Drosophila melanogaster: one gene and its partner. The protein of the gene in region 2 purifies or fractionates together with the protein of the main gene of each other region. This does not show direct contact. Each region holds a gene or a part of one and is shown on either strand. Other genes may lie near its edges.

Region 1 (3,857 bases), on a different chromosome or scaffold from region 2:
GAGATATCTGCAAGGGGGCAATGTACGATCCAAATGTGAGATTGCTTTCCAATGATGGCCTTCCCATACCTTATAATCGCTATGGTCTCAGACAAATGGAAGTCCCCACCCACAATGGCGGGCACCTTCTGGAATCGATTGATCTTCTTGTACTCGTCGGTCAATTGCTCAACTAATAAAACATAAATGAGTCGGGGCAGTTTAGATGATTACTTTGACTCACATTTTCGCAGGGCAATCGGGCAATACTCAACGGGTGAGTTGCTGAATTTTAAACCAATCCATAGACCACGGGCGATCGGGGACAACAAATCGTAATAGAATCTAATTGGCTTGGACATGGTGGTCAATTGCTCCCGTTCCTCAGCCCCAACTTCCAAACAGCCGGCAAAAACGAATATCTTCAGCTGGAAAATGAGAAATTGAGCAAAGCTCCAGTCAAAAGATCTTGAGTGTCACCTTGCAACACTGGTTTTATGCTATTATAGTTGTCCCGCTTTAGGAGGCAAATTCAAAAGTGGCTCCCAACTTCAAAGATAGTTATATTATATAAAGCGAACATATGAAACTATTATTGATCCGATATCACCCCTTTTCATAGTCTCTAATTATTTTAACATTTAGGAGTTTTGCAGCGCAGAACTGAACACAATAAACATCAGATAAGGCACAAAAATGTTTTAAAATCCTAATAAATGCAATGAACAAAGAAATCAGTCAAAATCGAAAAGAAATCAGTTTTTGGCCTTGACTGCCTGCTGAGAGGTCTTGTAGACGAAGCTGTGGGCCTCATCGTAGTAGGGATTGGTAGCATCACGAACGCGTTCCATCCACTTGGCCACCTTGGGGAATTGCTTCTCATTTACGTTGTACTGGCAGAGCTCTAAATTACAAATCGTTATTATTAGAATTTATTTTAGATACAGCAGTGGGCTCAGTCTTACTCATCTGATTAATTTCTGAAGACCCGAAGATGTCTGCCACGGTAAGTTTGTCGCCGACTAAGAAGTCCTTTTCCAGCCAGAGGCGTTCCAGTAGACCCAAATTACTCTCCACATCCTTGATTAGCTTCTTGACAGACTCTGGCTTGGGAGCCGGCGCCAGTCCCTTTGCCGGAAGAAGCCACACCTGACGGAAGAACAGGGAGCAGACCAAGCGGACATTGAAATGCTGCCACTCGAGGAACTCGTCCACCCGCGCGCGTTCCTCCAAGGTTTTGGGGTACAGCTGTTCACTGAAGACTCCCTTGTCCGCGAGATATCTGAAATGTGTCATTTATCTATAGTATTAACCTGGCAATCCGAGCTCTGGATACTTGAACTTACCGCACTATGGAGACACTCTCGCCCAACTGAAATTTACCATCCACGATGGCCGGCACCTTTTGGAACCGATTTATACTGCGATATTCGTCGGTCAATTGCTCCTCTGGAATATAACCATCCCAAATGTTAGAAGATCTTTATACCTTATATACATGTGTAACTTGTTATTTATTCTTACGTTTTCGCAGGGCAACCGGGCAGTCTTCAAATGGGGTCTTGCCCAATTTCATAGCAATCCAGAGGGCGCGGGATGGCTGCGATAGGAAATCGTAATAATACTTAATAGCCTTCGACATCTTGGCAATTAATTAATCAGTTAGCTTCAGGAAGCCCGGTAAACACGAAAACAAAATATATTTGTTGTCGCTGATGAAATGTCAAAAAGCTCAAAGCAAAAAGCTTTATTCCGGTCCAAAGTTCAAACTGGTCGCTTTTCAACACTGTACCCAAAATGATATTGCCATCCCATCCCATTCTATGGGGAATCCGAGAAGGGCGGGCAAATATATAAGTTCAAAATAATCAGGTGGTGGTAAGAAGTCAGATAAAATATACCAATGATCAATAAAATTAAATGCTGTAGCCTTGCTTTTGTCATAACCGAAAGCTTATCGATTTCACTTATCGGAATCTCAGTTCAAACAGCGATATGTCAACCAGTCATCAAGAACCACAAAGCGTTTATCTCGACCAGATAAACACATTACCCTTACCCCATTTATGAAGAAGGCAACCCCAAGTAATACCATTTATGTTTTAGTTATACCGACATTTAAACAAATTCGCTTTAATTTATTAACGCACTCAACATGGGGTCTACAGTACATTGTCACATTTAAATATAGTCATTTAACTATGTATGTATTATCCATAAATATAGAGATGCATGTATATGTATGTGTAAACTAGTATCAAAAATTAGTAAAAACGACACTTAACCAACTGAAAAATTATCCAAAATATATATGTATGCTCATGTACCGTATTTATAAAAGTATGCGATAAAATCAAAGCCAACAACAACTTAGCACGCAAGTAGAAGACGTTGAAGATTTCATCATGAAAATGCATTATGGGATCATGGTAGAATGAATCGTTCGACCGGACGTTAGAATGTGTATAAGTATGTGCGTGGATAAGGACAGCAATAAATTAAAATCGACAAACTTGTGAGGTTTTTGTGCCATTTGATGGCGATCCATTTGCTTCTTATTTCGTTTTAGTGTGCACTTGTCGTCTATAATATTGTTCAATTTGCTTTTAGTTTCGATGTTCCTCCCTTATGGTTTCATTTATAAAATATCAGGTTCTGCTATGACCAAAGATCGCTTTAGCGCTGTAGTGTCTATACATTCCAGTGTGTATATATCGGGCTGTGTGTTAAATGGGTGTTCTATAGGATGTGCATCAGAATATACAACTAACTGCCCGATCATTGACTCAATCGAAGTTAATCATTCGGAAGGTTCCGTCGTTCGGAACGTCGGTTACTAACGGAGCACCCCTTTCCTGATCCTTCTCACTGGCTTCCCGCAATTTCTCATCCACGCCATATCGCTCGTCTTCCGTGAAGTACGGGGAAAAGCTTAGCAGCTGGGTCTCGTAGCGCGTCATTGCATCAGACAAAGATCCATTATCGCCGCCCATTTCCACGGGTAAATACTCCAATCCAATTGCCTTTCGCAGAGACGCGACGGTGGAGTGAATGTGCAACTGTAGGAAGGGTAGCAAAGAGTTAGTGGTTCTGCATCGATTTTCCCTTTGAACTCACCAGCTCCTTTTGCTTCATGACATTCCGAACCAGTCCAAGGACAAACTGCGTCTCCCTGGATGCATTGACAATGTGCGTGGCCACTAAATTCGCTGGAATTCCATGCTCTAGGAATGCATTCATCCGCTTGAACATGCCAGGATCGAACTGCAGTAGCAGAGAGTAGGGTATCTTGGTGAAGTCGATGATCTCCACCACGCCGGCTATGTTCCAGTTGTCGTCCGTGTTGATCTCGATCTCAGCGCGAAAAGCGTGGAAGCGGAAAATGTCGCTGACACTGTGCTTGGAAGGTTCAATGTGACCCATTCGTGTGTAGTGGATGCGGGGGCCACCAGGGCCAATAGGTTTGGGCAATGTGGCGAATATTCTGCAAAAGAACAAGTTTTTCTATAACACCCACCTCCAGAAAATGAGGGGGGTCCCCGCCTTACCCTGAACGAGCCAGTTCTATCAGCTTATCGTCCACCTGGCGACCCTTGAGCAGTTCTCTTTCCTTTGATTTGTAGGTGTAGTAGAAGAGTACCCTCTTCTTGGCCTCCTCTACGTCCCAGCGGCAGAAGCGCAGAAAGGCCACCAAGAACTGATCGTCGGTCCGCGCCTCCAGGTAGATCTGTTTGTCGATCCAGGTCCTTAGCGCCTCGATCTTCGCAACCGTCGAGGACGGATCCTCGCAGAGCTGCGTTCGAGCCACCTCTGCCAGCTCCGGCTCCAGCGATCGTATCTTGGCCATGGTCACAGGGAATCTGCAAATCGATCGATAC
Region 2 (5,688 bases):
AACTATGAATCAGGTCCTTTATAAGATAATATTTGAATATTTTGAGGCATTCTTCTTGCACTCAAAACCATAATCCCAAAATGTATAGAACATTTTTGAAACTTTTCCTTACTTTCATTGCAGACTTTTGAATTATGCTCCACATTTCGAGCTCGTCACACGGTGCACAAGAAAAGTTTCTTTTGGCAAAGATTAACAGAACCCAGAAGCAACCGAAAAAGGGTTTGAGATTGGGATTTAGGGGGAATGTGCGTGTTTCTGGCGGCGCATGTTTGGCAATGCGGTAAACCAAATTATGTGCTTAGCAAGTTGCCGCTGCGACCAGAGTCAGTGGAACCAGCCAACCAGCCAACCAACCAGGCAACCAGCCAGCTACCTCAACCACCCGATCCTTTGTGTACTGGATGCAGCTGCATTTGCACAGAGCAACCAGCGCACAGCACAGCCCCTGCTCCCTCCTTTTGAGTCTTTGTGGCACAGCTCCTTGCACTTGGCCGCTTTTCCTGTTGGCTCTGGTGGCAAAGAGGTTTGCACAGGTGTTTCCAACAGCAACTTTGCCAGCATGATTAAAAAGTTTTGCCACGGCTCAGCAATAGAAATCCGAGACTTCGGTTACCACAATGTCAATGCCTGACAAGGGATATGTCATTTCTTATTGTTTGTTGCTAGCTAGGAGCAAAGGGATAGCAACACAATACTAGTACTTGCCAAATCTACAACCTGATTTTATTACTTGCATGTTTAAAAATCTCAATCCCATGACAAATGATCATATAGCCACAAAGATACATAGGTAAATTCTTATAGAATATTCAAGTATCACTGCGGATTCAAATGGTGCTCCAGTTAACCCGCCTGTTACCATAACAAACAACGACTGAGATTGTGTGTCATAAGCGTGTTTACATAGCGTACAAAAAAAAAGGAAATTCAAAATGCATTTTCAGGCCTCGAACATGAGAGTGAGGGATGTGATAATGAGGAGCTAGCCTCTGGCGAAGCGAAACATCTGGGAGTACAAGATCAAGTTAATGTACAAAACGGTGGACATGGCGATGATCATGGCCAAACGGTATCATTTCTTCTTGGCATCCTTGAGGCCAGCGCCGGCGTTGAACTTAAAGAATATGATGTCGCCATCCTCGACGGTGTAGTTGCGTCCCTGTTGGCGATATTTGCCAGCGGCCTTGGCATTCGCCTCACTGCCCTCCGCCTTGAAGTCCTCGAAGTGCATCACCTCGGCCATAATGAAGCCCTTCTCGAAGTCGGTGTGAATGCGTCCGGCAGCCTGGGGAGCCTTGGTGCCCTTCTGGATGGTCCAGGCCTTCACTTCATCCGGCCCGGCGGTGAAGAAGTACTCCAGCTGCAGTCCCTTGTAGCCGGTCACAACGATCTTCTCCAGCATACTTTTGCACTTGGTCTCCGTCTCGTAGGCCTTGCGCTCCAGTTCGTCCTTTTCGGTCAGCTGGTGCTCGAAGGCGCCGGAGAAGGGAATGAGCAGTGCTCCGGGATCGTTCTTGTCGATCCATTCCTTGATCTTCGGCAGCCACTTGTTCTTCTTGCGGATGAAGTCCTTGTCCGAAAGGTTCACCAGGTAGATGACCGGTTTGGAGGTCAGGAACAGATACTTGTTCAAGGCCTCAATCTGAAAGAGCAAAGTAGTGGTGGCGTCAATAAGAACGGGAGGGAAAATCACAAGGTCACACGAAAAAAAACCACAGATTTCGCTGTTTTGTTGGCAAACAAATAAAGACGATAATAACAACAATGAATGAAACACGAATACAAATGCATTCTTAATAAACAAATTTACAATACAATATTTTATGGATATCCCCTTGTTTTTAAGTAGAAAGGAATAACAATAAGCGTTAGTGCCACCCAGCGGATGTGGATTGTTTTCGTACTTACATCATGGGCATTCCAGTCCTCGAAGCGCAGATGACGCTTCTGATCGATAAGGATATCCTTAATCTTAAGCATCGAATCGTATTCGGGCTTGAGCTTCTTGTCGCCGCCGCGGGCCACCACCTTCTCCAGTTTGTCCAAGTTCTTGAGCAGATTCTCCTCGTCCTTGAGGCGCAGCTCCTCGGAGATGATCTCCAGATCGCGCACCGGATCCACCTCGCCCTCCACGTGGGTCACATCCGGATCCTCGAAGGCGCGGCACAAGTGGAAAATGGCATCGCAGGCGCTGATGTGCGAGAGGAAGTCGTTGCCAAGTCCCTGACCCTCGGCGGCTCCCTTCACCAAGCCAGCAATGTCCACGACGTTCAAATAGGCAGGAACCACACTAGTTTTTTTTTTTTAAATACTTATTACTTTCGATTGTGCAGAACTTTTCTATTAAACTTAACAAGCAAATGGCAAGCAAATAACGAAAATAGCAAGTCCCGAAACTTGTTACGCGTTTTAAATGCGTTTCGTGATGCAGGTATATGTTTTTTTTTGTTACAAGCAATGGAAAACTAAAATGCAATGGATTTGTATGCTCCAACTCACCTGGCCGGCTTGTGGTACTCCACCAGGTAATCGAAACGCTCATCGGGCACCGGAACACGACGTGTGGGTAAGGCAAAAGCCATCGGCGGCAGCATCAGCAGGAGCAGATGAAAAGAAGAGGTAAGACGCATGTTAGTCGGGATGACTTGGCTGGACGCAGAAATGCAGAAATCCAAAAATACAAGAATATGAAAAAACAAAAACGATTGACTGACTGACTGGCTTGGTAGCCCGGCAGCATCGGCGGCCAATCATGGCAATTTTCTATAATTTTGCGCCATCCGCAAAGGGGCAGCGAAACCAAAATGAAGTCGCTCACAAATAAAAAGCGCAGGAAAATGAAACCGAAACGAACCGAAGGCGGGGGCAATTTGCATATTGGGAACTGGATCTGATAAAATTGCTAAGGCCGCGACACGCCCACAACGCGAAGGACAGTGAAGCATGGTTAGCTCAACTTTTAAAGGTGCCTTAAATGAATACAAATATGGTTTCTTAACTAATTTATAGAGTTAAGTGTGCGAAACTATCTGTTACTTCTGTAGTCCAAAAGGAATGGAAACATGAGAACACTCTGTATGAGATACATAGTAAGGATAATCTATAAGATCAAATGCTTATAGCTTGAAGTTTGCTAAAATTGAAGTTTTCGTGCTTTAACATTTGGAATTATCTACAATTGAAGACTATTTCTATGATAAAATGGTTAATAACCAGAAGGTATACTAGCCATAGCATAGTGTTTAGATCTAAGTTCCTGACACATTGAATCCCCCACTTAGCTGCGAATCTCAGAGATTTGTGTTACCTATCGAGGCTGCACTGTGGCTATTTTAGAAGGTCCAGTCGAGAGAGCAATTTGGAATTAGAAGCGGCGGCGGTTGCTCCTGGAGGCCATTGCTGCATCGCCGGCATAAAAATTATATTCCACGAGATGATTACAATGATCGAGGAAATTGCCACCGCCCGCAGGTTCGCCTGGTAATTGGCCAGATATATGTATGTAAAGATATATATATATATAAATATATATATATGTGTGTGTTGGGGAATACTTATTCTCATTCGGCTTGATGGTGCAGAAGGGGAAGTTCTCCGCGGGGGCGGCACTTTGGGTCAGAACGTTGAAAAAAGTGGACTTGCCCACGTTGGGAACGCCAACGATACCGATTCTCAGATTCGTTCCAATTCTGCCGATCAGCGGCTTGCGCTCCGGTTCGTCGTGCTTCTTGGGCGGCATCTTCGTTGATCTGCGGTGATATGGCAAGTCGTTAGTTACATATATCCGATTAATCAGGTATGTAAATACATATATGTATATGCATTTAGATGTCAACTATTTTTATATGCTGCCGGACATAACCTCACATTGCCGGCTGCTAGCTCACCTAGCTCACTAAACGCGTGGATGCTGTCCACTGAACTCAGCTCCAGCTGTGGATGGGAGTTAAGGTTAGTTATTGCCAAATGAACTTAAGCCCCTGTTATTTACAAATATTTACGAAAATTTAAGCGTCCGCTGTTTTTTGCGGCTGACGGCGTGGAAGGAAAGAGAGCGAGCGAGATGGGTATAGGCCGGTCAGCTGTTGACGCGCAGGGTTGCATGCCGACTAGCGCCCCCGGGCGGTTGAAATGGGCGTCGTAGCTTAGCACCGCAGGCGGTAGGGGGCGCCAGCGGGCAGGGCGCGTAATTTGAATTTAGCTCGAGGGCTATGTTATTATCGCACTGGAATTTCAGCATTTTTCAACAGGTTTGACGTCTTCTTACATTATAATTGTTGTGCGGGCATAAGTTTACTTGTGCTTTACTGGTTTGCTCAAAACGAATTGGTTAATAAGGTTATCCTATTTAAAACCTTTATATAATTATATTGCTTCCTAATTAACTCTATCAAATTAAGTGCCACAATATACGAAATATATTGCTGTTATAATATTGTACCCTATTTTATTGAGAACTATGCAATAACTGCCAAGGCTTGAAAGCAATGCGATCAATTTGATGGTTTAATTTTGTCTAGATATACAGGTCGTGTTCCTTCTTCCCAACGCCTTTAGTTTTGACCAGGTTTTCAGGTAAATGCGATCGAGTTAACTGTCAAGGTCGTCGGGCCGACGCACGTACACGCAATTTGGCGGTTTAGTGAAAAGCCCGCAATAATCAATAATTTCGCATAATTAGCGAACCGATCGGCGGATCGATTCCCTGCCTTTATGGCCAACTGAAACGCAATCCGCACGATGGGTAGAAAAACGAAAAGTCGTCAGGAGGAGAGACCAAGGGTGGTTGAGAATCAGGTTTGTTGATCTTTCGCGACTGTTTGGCAATCGATTTGGATCGTTGGTCGATGCGCTTTGATTGATTCCCTGGCCCGCGTTTATGGCCCTAATTAAAAGATCCGTTATGCGTGATCGGTCTACCTTTCAGTATTCGAATATCATGTGCGTGCTAGAAAACTTACTTATAATTTCACGCTGTCTTGCCTCCTCGACCAGTTTCTTTACTCAAGGCATCTCTTTGCGGTTGTCCGACCGTTTAAAAATCCATTTGCAACTGACCCTGGACAACTGTTTTTCGTTTTTTGTTTTCATTCTTTTTTTTTCCACTGGAGCATGTAATACCTTTGTAATGTTTGTCCACAAAACCGCAGGAGGTCCACGCCTGCTGACGATTGAAAGTTTTTCGATCGATTTGTGGTTGTGTATGCTCTTATAAACAACCTGCATTCTGATCCTTTACAAAAGTCGAATACTATCTTATTGGTTTTGTATGTTTATTGAAATATCAATGAAGCAACGATTTTAACAAAAATCAGCATTTAAGATTACTTACTTTCCTATATTAGATTACAAATAAACACAAGTGCATCAAGAATGAAATCTCGACCACATATAAAGAAAAAATATTTAACAATACGCAGCAAAGTTCCATTTTCACACATTTCCCAGAAATGTTTCATTATTAAATATATACAACTTTCGACACAATTCCAAGGACTCTGCGCTACGCCCAAAAGTTATTCAATTTCCAGCATGATTATTTAACGCTAAGCCGGCTTATTTTGCATATTATTTGTTGTTTGGGTTAATTAAGCTGACTTTTAATTGCCTTTTATTGCACTTAATTATTGGAGTCGGGTAGAAAATGGTGCCCGCATACGGTCGCTGGCAAAAGAACGCGAATGG

The links.
Region 1: the proteins of CG1354 (region 2) and GstT1 purify together in Drosophila melanogaster (affinity purification with mass spectrometry, with the first as the bait; one large-scale study listed by BioGRID). This does not show direct contact.

The regions. Positions count from the first base shown.
Region 1 is NT_033778.4:9,603,851-9,607,707, reverse strand, and holds GstT1 (glutathione S transferase T1), read right to left. Parts: upstream 1,721-3,857; 5' UTR 1,622-1,720; coding exon 1,504-1,621; intron 1,429-1,503; coding exon 1,326-1,428; intron 1,262-1,325; coding exon 945-1,261; intron 884-944; coding exon 735-883; 3' UTR 524-734; downstream 1-523. Other genes in the region: GstT2 (glutathione S transferase T2), read right to left, coding at 1-7, 70-172, 224-341; CG1902 (uncharacterized protein), read right to left, coding at 2,766-3,038, 3,097-3,463, 3,528-3,826.
Region 2 is NC_004354.4:9,777,116-9,782,803, reverse strand, and holds CG1354 (uncharacterized protein), read right to left. Parts: upstream 4,063-5,688; 5' UTR 3,995-4,062; intron 3,937-3,994; 5' UTR 3,891-3,936; exon of another isoform or gene 3,871-3,890; intron 3,847-3,870; exon of another isoform or gene 3,753-3,846; 5' UTR 3,743-3,752; coding exon 3,562-3,742; intron 2,618-3,561; exon of another isoform or gene 2,598-2,617; coding exon of another isoform or gene 2,564-2,597; coding exon 2,503-2,563; intron 2,294-2,502; coding exon 1,912-2,293; intron 1,646-1,911; coding exon 1,076-1,645; coding exon of another isoform or gene 986-1,075; 3' UTR 710-985; downstream 1-709.